3 linked regions of the Coturnix japonica genome follow. The protein of the gene in region 1 purifies or fractionates together with the protein of each later gene. This does not show direct contact. Links are inferred from orthologs where the notes say so. Each region holds a gene or a part of one and is shown in the gene's direction. Other genes may lie near its edges.

Region 1 (5,819 bases):
GCCCGCTTCGCCCTCGAGGACGTCCTGAAGGACGAGAAGATGGGCCTCAAGTTCTTCAATATCAAGTACCTGGAGGTGACGCTGATCGACATGGACTGGAGCTGCCCCTGCCCCAACATGACGGCCGAGGACGGGCCGCTCATCATCATGGGCTCCGTGCACGACGGCATGGCCACGCTGGACCCCGGCAGCTACGTGCGGGCGGCCAACGACAAGAGGGTGAAGAAAATCTACGAGCTGATGGAGAAGAAAACCTGCGACCTCCTCAACCGCTTCCAGGATTAAAGCCGGGCTGACAGACAGACACCGGGGCTGCAAACCCCGGGGGGACCCGTCTGAGCCCACAGCCCGTTGCTTTTATTGAGTTACTGTCACCATTCTGCAGCTCCATCCCTGTGACTTTCAGCTGCGCGTGTTCCCTGTGTACCCCCACCCAGACAGCAGCAATAAAGGGCGGGGTGGGGTTACAGAGAAGTCTGCCCTGACCCCCCCTCCCCTGCCCTGTCACACAGGGCACCCCCAGCCCTAACCCAGAGAGCTTCAGGATCCTCAGCCCTGAATATGGGGATGCAGAGAGAGCCCTCTGCCTGCACACTGAACTGGGAGAACTGTTATGACGGGGCTCCTGGCACAGGGACGTGGGAAGGACACGGCTGTGCCTCACCACGGGCAGCTATTTCTGCACCGGGTGATATTTCTTGGTGAGGAATTCCTCCCCACTTAAGAGCTCGTGTTTATTTTTGTTTCATCAATGGAAACTGATCCCTTCCAGCTCAGCCCTGCAATGCCTGGAATGGGAGTCTGGGTGCCACTTGGGCCCGTGCACATCATGCAGCAGCAGGGCTGGGATCAGGGCTGGGATCAGGGCTGGGTGCAGGGCTGGGTGCAGGGCTGGGTGCAGGGCTGGATGCAGGGCTGGGTGCAGGGCTGCACGGTGCATCCCACGGGGCAGCATTACCTTCGCACGTGTGCTGTCAATAAAGGGCACCCCCCGCTTTGCCCTCGGCGGTCTCTGCAGCCGGCAGAGCGCTGTGCCGCCGTCTGAGGGCGGAATTTCGGGGCTTTCTTTGTTTTTCTAATAAAAGCCCCCAAGCGGACACAGCGGGGAGTTCGGCTGCTCGCTTTGCAGGGAGGGCCGCGATTGTAGAACCGGAATCCCAGAGCGGTTCGGGTTGGAAGGGACCCTCAGAGCCCGCCCGCTCCCACGCCGTGCGCTCACTGCCCCCCCCGGCAGCTCAACCCATCCGTGATTGATCCCCCCTCCAAGGACGGGGGCTCCGAGTGACAGATTTCCTCCTCGCAGCCCCCCCAAATCTCCTTTCCTTCCCTTTAAAGCCGCTCCCCGCCCCGTCGCTCTGCCCGAGTCAAACCTCTCCCCGCTGTCTGGGGGCACGGAGCGCTGAGGGCTGCAGCCAACGGGCCCGGCCTCAGCCCCCCCTGCGTCACCGCAGCCCCCCCAGGGCCGGGCGCTGCCCCTCGGATTGAGAGCTGCCGTGAGCAGGGCTCAGAATGGGGCGAAAAGCAGCGATTTGTGTGGGGAAAAAAGAAAAAAAGAGGGGGGGGGGGAAGAAGAAAGAATAAGAGTTCAAAAAGAAATTTAAAAAAATTAAATAGAAGAAAGAAAATCCAGTTTAAAAAGTTAAGAGAACGCCGTGCGCCGCCCGGGAATCGAACCCGGGTCGCAAGAATGGGAATCTTGCATGATACCACTACACCAGCGGCGCCGCTGCTGCTCTCCCCGCTCCCTCGGCCTTATCCCCACTATCCCCACTATCCCCACCATCCCCGTCCACTCGCGGTGCGGACACGCCGTGGGTCCGTCCCTGCGCTGCGCATCGTGTCTGTGCGATAAAACCGCGCCGTGATGCGGCCGGACGGGGAGAATCGCTGCAGCTTCGGGGGGGAACCGGGACGCGGCCACCCCAACAGCGACGGCCGCGGGGACCCGGCACGAGGAAGCTCGTCCCGCCCCGGAACGTGGGTGACGCGTTCCCGGCTCCGGGGGTCACCGCCACGTGCGGGGTCTCCACGCGCCGCCCGGTCCGAAGGTCACCACGCGTGGGGTCACACACCCCACGTGGCAGCGCGTCCCACGTTGGGCTCAGGGCCGCCCCGCAGCCCCCACAGCCCCGCACCCCCCGCCGTGCCCCACGCGTTAATGATCCCACTCGCGTCTCTCCCCCTCCACGCGTTCCCCCACGATTGAGGCGCGGTCCCTTTAAGGCCGGGGGCGTGCCGCGGGCCCGGCCCGGCCCGTTAAAGGCCCGGCGCGGGGCGCTGGGTGCACTCGGCCGGCGGGAGCGGCGGGGCCGTGCCGTGCGGGGCCGGAGGGGCCGCACGATGTACACGCTGACGCGCGGCCCCAGCAAGTTGGCCACGCAGCGCCGCACCGGTACCGGGCGGGGGGGGCGGGCGGGGGGTCGGGGGGAGCGTTGGCACCGCGGGCACCAGCTCCGCTCCGCCCGGCCCTGACGCCCGTCCTTCCCCCCCCCCCCGCAGGTCCCACGCAGCAGCCGGTGGAGAGCAAGGTGGGCGAGCCGCGGGGCCGGCTGCAGCCCGGAGCGTGGCCCCCCGCCAGGTGAGCCCCGCGCCGCGCCGTGACCTTGGGGAAAGGTGACCGCGGCCGCGCGGCTCCGGGGAGGGCCCCGGGGCGGGGACGGGAACCGCAACACCCGCCTGGAGTCCGCCGAGGGGTCGTGGGGGGGGGAGGGGGGGCTGCGGGGGTCGCTCCGCTGCTGTGCTCCCCCCTCACCGCCCACCGTCCAGGCCCCGCGCGGAGCCCCGCGGTCCCGCAGCGCAGCCGTGCGCCCTGCAGGGCCCCGAGGGTGCGTGGAACCTCGTGTCCCCGTGTCCGTGCGCTCCCCGCGGGCCGCGCCCCCCCCGCCCCCCCCGTCGGAGTTGTGCAACCGCCGCAAAAGTTCAGGGGCGGCGGTGGGGCCGCACCGCGGGGCTCTGCCCGTGTCAGCCCGTATCGCCGCCCCGGGGCTGCGCTGTGCCCGGAGCCTCTGCCCGGTGCTGTCCCCCCCACCCCCCACGCACGGCCCGAGGGTCAAAAGGGGGAAAGTCTGGGGGTCCCCGAGGCGGGGGGGGGTCGTGTCCCCGTGCGGCGATGAGCCCCGTGCCCGGTCCCGCACGTCCGTGCTCAGGGAGCAGCCTTCACCCCTTTTCTCTGCCTTCAGGGAACAACCGAGAAATGTCTCCCCCCCGCCGCCCCCCGCCCCACTCCTGGCACAGCCGCTCAAGGCAGCGGTGGGTTGTGGGCTGGGGGGGCACTGCCGGCCCCGCTGCTCTGCACCCCCCACCCTGCGCTCCCGGGGCCTCTCAGACTTTGTCCCGTGAGCGCTGGGACTCCCGGGTTCCTCCCGGGGCTACGCGCTGACCCTTCACGTGGGTCCTGTTCCATGCGGACGGTTTCACCTTGTCCTTTAGGGCAGCAGCTCTCCCGGGGGGGCTGTGTGGGACGGGGCGGCCCCGGAGCTGCTCCCCCGCTGCAGGGCTGCCCTCCAGCTCTGCCCTCGCGTTGCTTTCACCGCGCTGTGCTGCTGTTGCTCCTCGTGCACCCGGCCCGTGTCACAGCGCCGTGCCTCAGTTTCCCTCGTGTTGTGCAGAGCAGCAGCAGCAGCTGCGGGGTTCCCATGTAGCAGCTGTGACAGCCGCTGTGTCCCCAGCTGGGCGGCCTGCAGGGCACGTGGGGCGGGCGGTGCGTTGTGCACCCTGATCTGCTTTATTTCCCTTCTTATTTTTGGGCTGTTGTCCTGCTGCCTCCATCCAGAGCAGAGCTGGAGCCTGGAAAGCACGTGTCCTTGCTTGGGCTCTGCCAGGCGTGGTGGCCGCCTTGGGGGCAGGATGGGGGACAGCTGTGTCTGTTGGTCCATCCTTCCCCTCTGCTGGAGTTGGGGGCTGCGATGGGGCAGTGCCGGCTGATGGCACAGGAGCTGCGTGGTGCACACAGGGTGGTAGGGCTGCCCCGCTCCTCGTGTGCCCCCAGGTTGCCCTTCTCCCCTCAATCCCCTCTTTCCCCAGCCCAGCCCAGAAGCTCATCTTCAACAGAGTGAACGGCAAACGGCCGCAGGTGCTGCTGCCGCACAATTCTGTGCCCGAGGAGAGTTACACGGCCGCCCACGAGGAGAACGTCCGCTTCGTCTACGAAGGTGGGAGAGGCTGGAGGGGACGAGGGGGGGCTGCAGGGCGCCGCCTGCCCTGGGGTTCACCCCCAGCCCTCCATCCACAGCCTGGCAGGAGGTGGAGCAGCAGCTGGACGGGGGGCAGAGAGGGGAGAGCACCCGTGGGCCTGTGCAGTACGTAGAGAAAACCCCGAACCCCCGGCTGAAAAGTGAGTGGGGAGCGTGGAGGGGGAGGGAGGGGGAGCAGGATCTGGGGGAGCACATGGCAGAGCCGCCCCCGGCTGGGGGTGGGGTGACATACCGGGGGGGTCCCGTGGGCTGTGAGTGGGGGACATCGGGTGTCAGTGTTCCTGGTTTGGGTGGGTGAGCCCAGTGCTGTGCAATGGGGTCTGGCTGTGGGGCCGTGCCATCACCCCCTGGTTCTGCTGTGGGGTTCTGCTCTCATCACACAGGATGGAGACACAGCGGGGATGGGGTCAAAGTAAAGGCAGAGTGAGGGGCTGGGCAGCAGCTGGAAGTGAGAATGTCACCGAGCAGAGCAAATGCCCGCAGCCGTTGGGGAGCTGGGGAGCCCTGGGGCTCAGGGGGGTGTTTTTCCCTGTGCTAAATGGACGGCGCTGCTGGGAACGCTCCGTGCTCCAGCTGCGATCCCTTCTCAACATCCCGTCTCTTTCAGACTTTGTTCCCATTGACCTGGAGGAATGGTGGGCGCAGCAATTTCTGGCCAAGATTGAGAACTGCTCCTGAAGGGAAGGCGGCCGTTCCCACTCCCACTGCGGCCCTTTTTCATTTCCCCTCCCCTCTTTTTTTTTTTTTTTTTTTTTTAAAAACCACGACAAAACAAAACAACAACAAAAAAAAAACCAACAAAAACCACCAACACCTAAAAACCGACCCCGACAAACCACGCAGCCAGGAGCCTCCGGTCGGATGCGGCGCTCGGTGGTATTTAAACAGCTCTTCCAGCCCCGAGGACAGCGGGATCGGAGCACAGCCATGCCCGGTGCGGGGCGGAGGAGCCGCGTGCGGCCCCGGCCGGGATTCCTTAAGTGCCAGTTCTGAGCCCGCTGCAGCTCCGGGACACTGCGGGGTGTGCGGGCAGCCCCCCCCCCCACCATGCTGGAGGACAACGGGTCACTGTAGCAGGACAGACAATAAAGCGCTGAAACTGCCTGTGGTTGAGGGGCTGGTTGGACCCGGGGGAGCGTTGGCGGCCCAGCGGAGGGGTGCAGAGATGGAGAAGTTCGGATCGTCCCCATGCAACAGCCCCAGGGCTGCCCGCCGGCCTCCACGTGGAGCTGGAGGTGCTGGTGGTTCGGGGGGGGCTGAGCATCGTGGCTGGGAGCCGTGCAGGGCTGTGCTGTCCCTGCAGCCCCGCGTTATCTCCGCGGTCCCCATAGGGGTAAAGCAGCGGGAGGAGGGGGCTGGGGGCAGCCCTGCAGCGCAGCCTCTTCCTGCAGGACGCAGCCGCTGCAGGGGGCGGCCCCACGAAGGGCCCCAGTGCAGCTTTGCCTGGGCTGATTCCTGCTGGAGCCCTATCGGGTCCTCAACAGACCGAGCCGTGCAGGGTAGGAAACCGATCGCTGAATGTGAAGGAGGCCAGAAAACAGCTGGAAAAAAAAGGAAAGCTTTATTCTCGTGGTGGGAACAACAACTGTGCTGCAGCCCAGCACAGCAGCCACAGCCCCTTCTCAG
Region 2 (5,079 bases), on another chromosome or scaffold:
AGAGTGGAGCCTACCTCATTCCCTTACTTGAACGGCTAGACTTAAAGAAGGACAACATACAAGGTCAGTTGGGATGGGTCTGCCTTAGCTGCATCCAGGTGGTGGTATTATTGCTCACTGTCTAGACTTGAATCTAAAAGCTGTTTGATGAAATGCAGTGATGTAGGTTGTCTGCTCACACTTGTAAAGCAAGTACATGGGGAATGGTAGAGGGAAGGTGGAATTTTATAAGTTGCAAGTTTCCCTTCAGGAACTTGAATTGGAAGGTATCTTCCAGACTTTACTTTCTTGCCTCAGAAAGCAGATTAGGAGTAATAAACATGTGGTGGCTGGGAGAGCTGTGTGGAGCGAGTGTGAGGGAGCACATGTGGAATTTATCTTGTTTTGAGCAGCTTCTAGGACTTCTATAGATACCTATCAGGATATTTATAGTGGAACTGCAAAACTTTGAAATATGGCTTTGTGAAGCTTCTATGTTCTACAGGGAAGTATTTAAGACTGTGTGTTAATAGTAATTCATGCTGATACTTTTAACTTTCAGCAATGGTGATCGTTCCCACCCGTGAACTAGCCCTGCAGGTCAGTCAAATCTGTATCCAAGTCAGCAAACACATGGGAGGTGCCAAAGTGATGGCAACAACAGGAGGAACCAATTTACGAGATGACATAATGAGGCTTGATGATACAGGTTGGTGCACTTTGTTGCATTACAGTTACTGTTTATTTGGGGCTTTTATCCTGGGTGGGAGAATTTGTACTTTTCTCTTTTGCCTGTGCTACTGTTTGCTTGTTAGAAAATAGTTTGTAGTGTGTCCTTGTCACTGTATGTGGTTATTCTCTCAAATGCTTGGTATAAAACATGTCTCTGAATGCTGGAAACACTGCCTGAGTTGCCTTAACTTTTTTTGCTCTTCTCACTCCACAGTGCATGTGGTGATAGCTACCCCTGGAAGAATTCTCGATCTCATCAAGAAGGGAGTAGCAAAAGTTGAGCATGTCCAGATGATAGTATTGGATGAGGCAAGTAGCTCATGTTAAAACATTTTTCACTTGTTAAAGCAGTGATGTGTCTCAGCCAGCCACCTCATTATGCACATCAACAAGTAGTTTTGCTTGAGGATATCAAGGTTATAGCTAAATCATTTCTTGGTGGTTTGAGAAGGTATTTTGGCAGAAGTTTTCTGGGTGTGAATTTTCCTAGGTTGCTTTCCTAAAAAGGTTTTGACTTCTGTTTACTTTTTTGTTGCTGTGGAACGGATTAACAGTCACTTCTGAATGGAGGGAATGCATTTTGTTTAGTTTCGGTTTGTAACAAATGAGTAGTGCTTACCACAAGTTCATATAAACTGATTTATGAACATCTGAGAGATTACAGGCTTCTGAGTGAGAAGGTTGAGAAAATAATCCTATGACAGCTCTTGGCGTCTATTTATTTTTCTTTAATTTGATTCTGTTTTGAAAACAGTTTTGAAAACCAGGAAATGTAAACTTCCTTTAAGTGGTGAATCCTGGTTCCAGCAGCTAAATCAAATATCTTTTAGAGTGTAGTGATTGTTCCAAAGGGAGTGAAGCTGGGGAGGAGACTATTCCTGGTGGTGTTTTCTTTCTGCTGTGTTACACTACCAGAGGACTGGGAGCCTGTCCCATCTCTTTAATGTCGTATTTTGTACTTTTGTTGTTACAGGCAGATAAGTTGCTGTCTCAAGATTTTGTTCAAATAATGGAAGACATTATTCTCACGCTACCTAAAAACAGACAGATTTTGCTCTACTCAGCCACTTTCCCTCTGAGTGTACAGAAGTTCATGGTGAGTGCAGTTGGAATCTTGTACATATGATTGTGACACTGTACATAGGGTACACGAGTGAGTGGTGTTCTTTTATTTACACAGTCATGCTTTCTTGGTTTAATATATCAGCCTAAATATGGGATAGAAGGTAATTGCTTTTAGTGTGGTCTGATGCCTTGGATTTATAAGCAATCTTTCATAAACTTTCTTGAAATTTTACCTGCCCTTTCTCATGACAGATACAGAGTGTCTGGGTGGTGCATTCGTGCTTTGCAGTTTAAGTGTGCCAGAGGACAGGATGTCTTTATGCTGTTTTGCATGTAGATACGCCTGCTTTATTTTATTTTGTCTTTCAGAATTCCCATTTGCAGAAACCCTATGAGATTAATCTGATGGAGGAGCTGACCTTGAAGGGAGTTACCCAGTACTATGCCTATGTAACTGAGCGTCAGAAGGTTCACTGCCTCAATACGCTGTTTTCCAGGGTAAGCAATAGGGTTTAGAGCCTACAAAAGCAGTTTTTCACTTCAAAATAAAATAGTAAGATTTAGGATGACAGGTTTTTCCATGACAAAATGTACTAATGATGCTGTGAGCTAGAGTTAAAAATAATTCTTATTCTGCACTTTTGTGCTACAGAACCTTGAAGTTTTTTTCCCCTGTTGTTCAGAAATATATGTTATGAATTGTTTGTAGCACCTGTTCTCTCTTTTCGAAAGGGATTTAGATGCATGCCTTAGATTTGCTGTGAAAATTCCATGTTTACTGAACACTCTGATTATATTTCCAGCTCCAGATCAACCAGTCGATCATTTTCTGCAACTCCTCTCAACGGGTTGAATTGCTAGCCAAAAAGATCTCCCAGCTGGGCTATTCCTGCTTCTATATCCATGCTAAAATGAGGCAGGTAAGTACAAAGTTACAGCAGTTGCTATCTGGGTTCTTCAGGTTTATTTAAATTTATGTGTGCTGTAAAAATGTATTTTGCTTTAGTTCCACTTTGTGTCCAGACTTTTTTTCTGCTCTTTCCAAACTGATCAGTTGGTATTTAGGAATACAAACAGAGCAGTACTCAGCCAGTGTGAGCTCACAGCGTGACTTGGCAAGCAGCACATCTTGCTCCACGGCTGTAGGGGAATCTGAGAAGTCAGGGAGACAGCTTTGATCAAAGCTCTCAGTGAAAGTACCAACTATTACTGCATAGCAGTTTTGCACCCATGGCCTTGCTGTAAACATGAAAAATAGCAACATGGTTTTGGTGCACAGGGATTTATGTTACTTGTAGAGTAGCTCATGTACTCAAGCTTCACACTATAGCTTTCCTTGTTAGCTAGTGAACTTGGAGACACTGACAAGAGGTTGAAGTGATGTGTGGAAGGTGGTAGGACTTTGAAATATCTTACATTTTGTATGTAAACTAGAACAAATTAAAACGACAGCTTTAATGGACACCTGGCTGTTCATTGGACTGACAATACGAACCTTTGCTGGGCTATATATGGAGCAGTAATTTAAGCAGAAAAGGAGCTGATGTCAGTGTTGAGAACACAGCTGTGCAGATGGATTGCTTGAGACCTGGTTTTCATTTCTCTTATTTTTATCTTTCTGGCAAAAAAAAAATGGAGGCATCGTTATTTGAGTGGGACACTGCAACTTGTTCATTTCACTCTCTGAAAATGAAACTGCTTATTAATCTGCATAGTCCAGTGTGGCTTGTTAGTGAGAGAATAGTCTGCGCAGGCACTTGGCTCATACCATCACTGATTCAGTGGTGGAAAATGCTCTGCAGTGGAAAATGGAGTTACTTTGAGTTTTAAAGGAAGGATGTTTCCAGATTTTATGTCAATGCTCATGAATATATTTTTAGGATGTAAGGTATTAATATACAGCATTTGGCATGGAGCTAGGAGAGATGATAGTCAAAACACTGGGAATGAAAATAGACCTTGGGAACAAAAGAAGTTTTGGTATTAAGAGGCAGAACAAGGAGTTTAGACTCAGCTGATATTCATGAAGGGGCGAGCGTGGGATTTGTGGTTGTAAATTGAGCACTCAACTGAAAGTCATAACTGTTCTTTAATTAGTTTATTTATGTGTTTCCAGGAGCATCGCAACCGCGTGTTCCACGATTTCCGAAATGGCTTATGCCGCAATCTTGTTTGCACTGGTAAGAGCCCCTATGCATTTCTGAAGGTTGTGGTAGAGTAGCCATTAGCCCAGGTATAATTGATGAACTGCTTAGTGATAAAACTAATCTGTTTTAGTAAGAGAATTTTTGTCATACCTGTGTGTAGCGGGCTGCAGTGCTCCTGTATTGCAGAATGACCCGGGTTGGAAGGGACCTCAAGGATCATGAATCTCCAACTACCCTCCCCCGCCACAATCAGGGCCACTAACTTCCTCATTTAATACCAGCCCAGGCTGCCCAGGGCCACATCCAACCTGGCCTTGAACACCTCCAGGGTCGGGGCAGCCACAGCCCACATACCACTCTCAGAGTAAAGAACTTCTCCCTGACATCCAGCCTAAATCTGTAGGCATACAGGCTTTCTCTTTTTGGCAACCTGTGGTGGTGCAGCTTGCTAACAAATCCTTTCATTGTGATGATAATTTGTACTTCAGTTATGTTTTCTTTATGTTCTAACATTTGAGTGTCCTATAAATTGTTGGATATGAAATAGTAGAAGAACTGTAGGTAGAACTGTGGCTAGCATTATTGAATAATGATTTACTGATTCTTCATCACTTCCCAAATGCTTTGCAGTTCTGATTGGTCTGTATATGGCCTGAGTTGTATCTTGGCTGCATTACTAAAACTCACTTGAAATGAAACAGAGATAGTTCAGTTGATGGGACGTAGCTCACATTTCAAGTCTGTTGTAAAATGACAGTGTGTGCCTTATTTGATAAGATGCTTATATAAAGCTGACCGGCTCAAAAATAGTGCAAAAACTGGCTTCATGAGAATTATTTTTTTTACCTAGAACTGAAGATTTGATGTCTTGATCATTCGGTTTTTATTATGCTTAACATGGATAAAGAGCAGGAAGAGGCTGTAACAGAATTTATGTCAAATGTTTTGATACACAGAAAGGGCTTGTCTTTAGAAACTAGTGCTAACCAACATTCACAAAGGCTAAATTTCCCAGCCCAGCATTAGATTTCATGGAAGTTAATGTTCTTCATGACTTGTGTTGTCTTTCAGATCTGTTTACCCGAGGTATTGATATCCAAGCTGTGAATGTGGTGATAAACTTTGATTTTCCAAAGCTGGCAGAGACTTATCTCCA
Region 3 (5,079 bases), on another chromosome or scaffold:
AAGCTCCCTGAAAATGTGCACTCTCTCTCTGGTATTGTAGGCTCTGCTGGAGCCAGGTGAGAGAAGCGTGCTCATTCAATCAGTAGCATGTTCTACAGCCTGCCTGATAAATGCTCAGCATGAGCCATAACCAGATGTGGACAGTAGCAAACATGTCTGCACAGTGTTCTACTGCCAATTAAATTTATCAGTGTGAGATTTCTTTGATGTAGCAAGATACAAAGAATCTGTGTACAAATTCAGTTGTTTTTGAGCACTTGTGATTGACTTGTCAGGCATGCAGTGAACTGCTTACTGTAACATGAGAATTGCTGGGAAGTGTATTCTGTAAAATACTTGCCTGTATATAATTTGGATTCAAGTGTGCTTTAGATTCATGATTAAAATAGAAGCTAATGTTTAAAGTTTTATGTAATCAGAAGAGGTACTCGGTATTTTAGAGCCGTATATAAATGAAACCAGGAAATTGCTACCTGTACTTCTGATACTGATCTAAATGAAAAATGAACTGTAATCAGCCAGATTGTCTTCTGCTCATGCACCATTTTTCCTTTTAGGGTATCAACATTTGAGTGTGATCTTGTAAAGAAATTGTTATTAGGATGTAGAGACTGTATGGCTGCTTAGACTTGAGTATAACTTTTCTGTGGCAGCTGTATAAACTGTTCAGAATTACTGTATTTTCTTATGACTTCAGCTTCTGGTGTGTTAAACATGCATGACTGGAACCTTGGGATAACAATAACTTGTTTAGTTGTGATTTTGCTGACTTGTTAATGAATTGTGACCTGCTGCAGGCAATTCAGCCTCTGTGCAGAATGATCTGCTGGAATTCCCTAACAGTGCTGGTCAGCCAGTGTTGGCAGCTGCTCTGTAAATCAATGTTTGCCATCATTGACCACCTGACAAAAATTATGCAATTATTTTATATACATTAATGTGCTTTTACTTAGTAAGGTAATGAGGATGCTGTTAGTCTGGCTGAACCAATGACTTGACCTTTTTGGTCTCATAGATGCCTGGTTCTAGTCAATGGCAGTGTGATTGTATTATTGCATCTTAGATTAAATCCACTTTTATAAATAGTCAGTATACTTAAGTATGCTTTGTGATGGATGTTGAGTACTTATTGTGTGGGGTTGTCTTCTTTTTCTCAGGGCCTCCACGGATGTCTCCTAAGGCACAACGGCACCCTCGAGGTCACAGAGTCTCTACTGGTAGGGGTACAATTTCAAGTGGCTTAGAATTTGTATCTCATAATGCACCAGGGGAAGCATCTACTACTGCAGTGGCACGAGGCAGCCCTTCAGGTGGGACGTGGTCATCAGTTGTCAGTGGGGGTAGGTAAAGCTTGGCTTATTGCAGATGGCTTGCCAGGGGTACCTTAGAGTCTTAATGCTAAGCAGAGTACTGTGTTTTTAGACAATTCAGGCTCTGAATACACTGGTCTGCTAACTTAGCTTGCTTAGATGTAGCTGGAGAAGGGTGTTATCAGATAGTTTAGTGTAACAACTGGTCAGTTGGTTCTTAAAGCGTAATATTGTCTGAATTGCAGAGAGGACAGGTCAGTTGCTGTATGAAAGGAAGGAAAAATGTGGGGATTAGTTGTTGAAAGAAATAACCTGGCACATTATTGAAGGAGATGAGAAAAAGTTAGATACTTTTTGTCTGAATTTGGTCAGTGACTGTATAGCTGGATTGTTATGACTTACCAAGGAGCGAGGTGTTTGGGTAGAGGAAGGCTGGCATTACAAGGAAATGTGAAATGGTACTCAAGTGAAGTTGGATGTACTTTTTTTTCTTTAAAAAACGATGCAGATTTTAAGTGGTTGTTTTGTGTTTGTCGTAAGTACCGTAGTAGCAGATATAATCAATGTCTTTTCTGAATCAGCTAACGCTTTTTTTTTTTTTTTTTCCCTCCTTTTTTCATGTTTGATTTACATTTAAAGCTCAGTCTTGTGACATCAGCCCTGGTTTTGTAGTTGGGACTGTGTTCTGGTCAGTCGTCAGCAGCTGAGTGCTTTCTTGATTCCAGGTGCAAGTGAGCAACAGTTCAGAGTCTGATACTTTTTAGTGCTGTTAGAATTCTAGGGAAGGGCAATGGGAAGGCATTTTTTAGAAAGCATGTAACACATAGACAACCCCATAGACCTGGTTGCCTTGTGGAAAACTTTTAAACGCTTCTGTTCTGGCTTTCTCTCCAATTCATCTACCCTCCCTACTCCAACTTTATATATCTGTGACATGCAAGTAGAACTGTTAAAAGACTTACTTTTCTTTCTTCTTGCTCACTTGAAGTTTATGTATGAATGTATGACATAAAGGAACTATCTAGCCACTGTGGGATGAGCAGGAAGCGGGAGGTATAACCTTTTAAAGAGCACACAGCTTTCTTTGCTGCTTTAATGCAAGGACAAAAGTGGCCATCAAGTCTCTCAATGAGACATGCATGGGTTGTTTTTGTTTTTGTTTTTTTGCAGCTGGCAAACCTCAAAAGGATTGCATGCTGTAAAGGGAAAGGTGGTTGCGTTGTTTTTCTTTTTTCCTCCCAGCCTTTAAAAAAATGTTTTGTATTTGTTTGTATGGAGATAGAACCACCTTTTTCTTTTCTGTCTGAAACTTTGTTAATATGATCTCTCATACCACTGAGGGACCAGAGACCACATTATGGTTTCTTGGTGGATTTGCAGAGCAGTGATATATGTTAGGGGACAATCTGCAGGAAAATGGCACCATTTATCTGAAATGCTGCATTGTAAAGAGCTAGGAGATGTACCTGAAAGGTAAATAGGTTTTCAGTCACTAGATAATGTTCCATTGAATTTTTTAAAGCATGTTCTTAGTTGTTTTAAAATTAAGCAAACTGCTGAGCAAATGAGGAAACTTATCCTATAACTGTTTTTTCCTGTTTGTTTCTAGTTCCGAGATTATCCCCTAAAACACACAGGCCTAGGTCTCCAAGGCAGAGCAGCACTCCTGCAGGACCAGCTCTGCCTTCTCCTCAGCCTGGTACTATTCCCACTGAATCTGTTGCCATGCCTGTTCCAGCTGCCTCTCCGACACCTGCCAGCCCTGCATCCAACAGAGCAGTTACCCCTTCCAATGAAGGTGAGTAACTCTCGCTAGCTGGCAAATGCTTCTGCTGCCTCATTTCTGAAAATGAAAATCCCTTTGCATGACCAAAGCTGATATATGAAATGATGGGAAAAATTCTGACTGATGCATTTGATTTTTCTATGTACTGAGTTCCTTTTTTCCCTGTGATGACGACTTTGAAGTAAGGTTCAAACGGCTTTCTAGTTAGACTGTATACTTAATTTCCTCTGCCCTTTAGGAGCTATGAAGTATGGGTGTTTGACCTAATTTAGGACATTTTTCTTTTTTCAAATGGATGTTTTGCTGTTTTCTCATTTGAAGAAGCTCAGCTCACTGATTTCTTAGAATATTATAAGCGTGGTGAAAGAATAAACATTTCAAGAGCACAGTCATAAGGATCTAACTCTCAAATCTTTGTAAAATTACATAAGAAGAGCTTTTCTATGGGAAGTAATGTCCTTTCATTTTAAAGTTTATTCAGCCTAGCTAAGGATCTGCGTGTGAATTGGAGGAGTGTGGACTGGGATAGTTTCATTTGGCTTAATAAGCATAGGGTGGGCAAGGAAGAAAGGTAACTCTCCAAGCCCTAAAGAGAACAGAAAATACGTAACATAGAGATTTTCTTTTGTAAGCTAAATGTGGTTAAATCTCTCTTTTGTTCTTATCTTGTCATCTCTTTTTAATCAGTTTTAGTTGTGTATCAGAGAGTAACTTAGACAATTTCCTTTCTAGCTAAAGATACCAGGCTTCAGGACCAGAGGCAAAACTCTGCAGCTGGAAACAAGGAGAATATAAAGCCAAGTGAGAGTTCTCCTAGTTTTCCTAAACCTGAAAGCAAAGGTTGGTATCAAAAGCTTCTGTAAGTACTTGAGTAATGTATAATCCTGAGTACTAAACCTGCTATGTTGACTAGTTTAGTTAACATTTTAAGGAAGACTTTGAGGAGGCTATCTGTCTTGGATGTTATGTAGAGAAAATGAGGTCATGCAGTTCTAAAGTGACAGAGACCTACAGTTTTAAGTGTTGTTCTTCACTCATTTAATCTACTCGCAGTATAGAGATATTCATGTGGATGGTGTGGTTTTTGTTTTGTTTTTTTTTTTTCCTTTTTTCTTCCTTTCTCCTGGCCTGGATAGGGTTCTTAGAGCTGTGCACACAATACTTGTGGTCGTTGTGATCCACACCATTTTTTATAACCACGCTTCTTCCTATTAAGCCTTAATGTCGCCTTTTTCTCTGCAGCATTGCTTGTTATTGCATTTCTCATAAAAATCTTTTTACATTGTGGAACTTAATCAGCATTTCAGCTTTAACTGATACTTTTGAAATGTTGGCATGTTATGCTTTGAGGGTTTTATTGCACACTTCTTTGTGTTTGGCTGGGTTCTGCAGTCCTTATACCTCAGGGCTTCTGTCTTAGTGTGTGATGTATTAGAACTATAGATGTGTCACTTACATAATGCCGTGCTTTTACAGACTATTTCTGTGTCCTCATACATACAGTTCATGGGATGATACCAAATTGCAGATGAAGTGATGTAGTTGTATTTAATTTGTAGATATGCAAGCATTATCTTTTTGCAAATTTAGAAACATGGGGGTTATAGATGAAAACCTGAATTAGAGATGCTTGGACAATTCTGGTCTTGTGTTTGGCAGGTGTATCTCCAATTGTTTCAGAACATAGAAAACAGATTGATGATTTAAAGAAATTTAAGAATGACTTTAGGGTAAGTGTCTCTGTGTGCTTACTTAATGGTATCGTAGTTCTCATGTGTCCTGATTACTTTAATGAACTGAATACATTGCATATGTTAATGGGGAAACATTTCCTTGAAGCTTGTGCTCAGTGTGTGAAAATGTCCTTAAGAGCTCACAGTGAATGTTATGAAATTCATTGCTAAGTCTGCTTGTCTTATTGCCTAGTGAACAAGTGTGCATATCAGCTTAAATACTGTTCACTGAAAATGCTGCTCAAAACAT

The links. The genes of interacting proteins can lie anywhere in the genome.
Region 2: the proteins of MCRIP2 (region 1) and DDX6 purify together in Homo sapiens (co-immunoprecipitation; 5 studies listed by BioGRID and IntAct, with this or other methods). This does not show direct contact. The link is inferred for Coturnix japonica from reciprocal best matches to the Homo sapiens genes MCRIP2 and DDX6.
Region 3: the proteins of MCRIP2 (region 1) and ATXN2 purify together in Homo sapiens (co-immunoprecipitation; 3 studies listed by BioGRID and IntAct, with this or other methods). This does not show direct contact. The link is inferred for Coturnix japonica from reciprocal best matches to the Homo sapiens genes MCRIP2 and ATXN2.

Annotation. Positions count from the first base shown.
Region 1 is NC_029529.1:11,893,446-11,899,264, forward strand, and holds MCRIP2 (MAPK regulated corepressor interacting protein 2), read left to right. Parts: upstream 1-2,261; 5' UTR 2,262-2,340; coding exon 2,341-2,392; intron 2,393-2,499; coding exon 2,500-2,578; intron 2,579-4,023; coding exon 4,024-4,151; intron 4,152-4,231; coding exon 4,232-4,333; intron 4,334-4,800; coding exon 4,801-4,871; 3' UTR 4,872-4,956; downstream 4,957-5,819. Other genes in the region: WFIKKN1 (WAP, Kazal, immunoglobulin, Kunitz and NTR domain-containing protein 1), read left to right, coding at 1-285.
Region 2 is NC_029539.1:4,831,907-4,836,985, reverse strand, and holds part of DDX6 (probable ATP-dependent RNA helicase DDX6), read left to right. Parts: coding exon 1-63; intron 64-541; coding exon 542-688; intron 689-925; coding exon 926-1,020; intron 1,021-1,684; coding exon 1,685-1,807; intron 1,808-2,145; coding exon 2,146-2,274; intron 2,275-2,579; coding exon 2,580-2,696; intron 2,697-3,892; coding exon 3,893-3,956; intron 3,957-4,994; coding exon 4,995-5,079.
Region 3 is NC_029530.1:5,317,846-5,322,924, reverse strand, and holds part of ATXN2 (ataxin-2), read left to right. Parts: intron 1-1,157; coding exon 1,158-1,340; intron 1,341-2,919; coding exon 2,920-3,108; intron 3,109-3,828; coding exon 3,829-3,936; intron 3,937-4,755; coding exon 4,756-4,826; intron 4,827-5,079. UniProt on the Homo sapiens protein: Involved in EGFR trafficking, acting as negative regulator of endocytic EGFR internalization at the plasma membrane.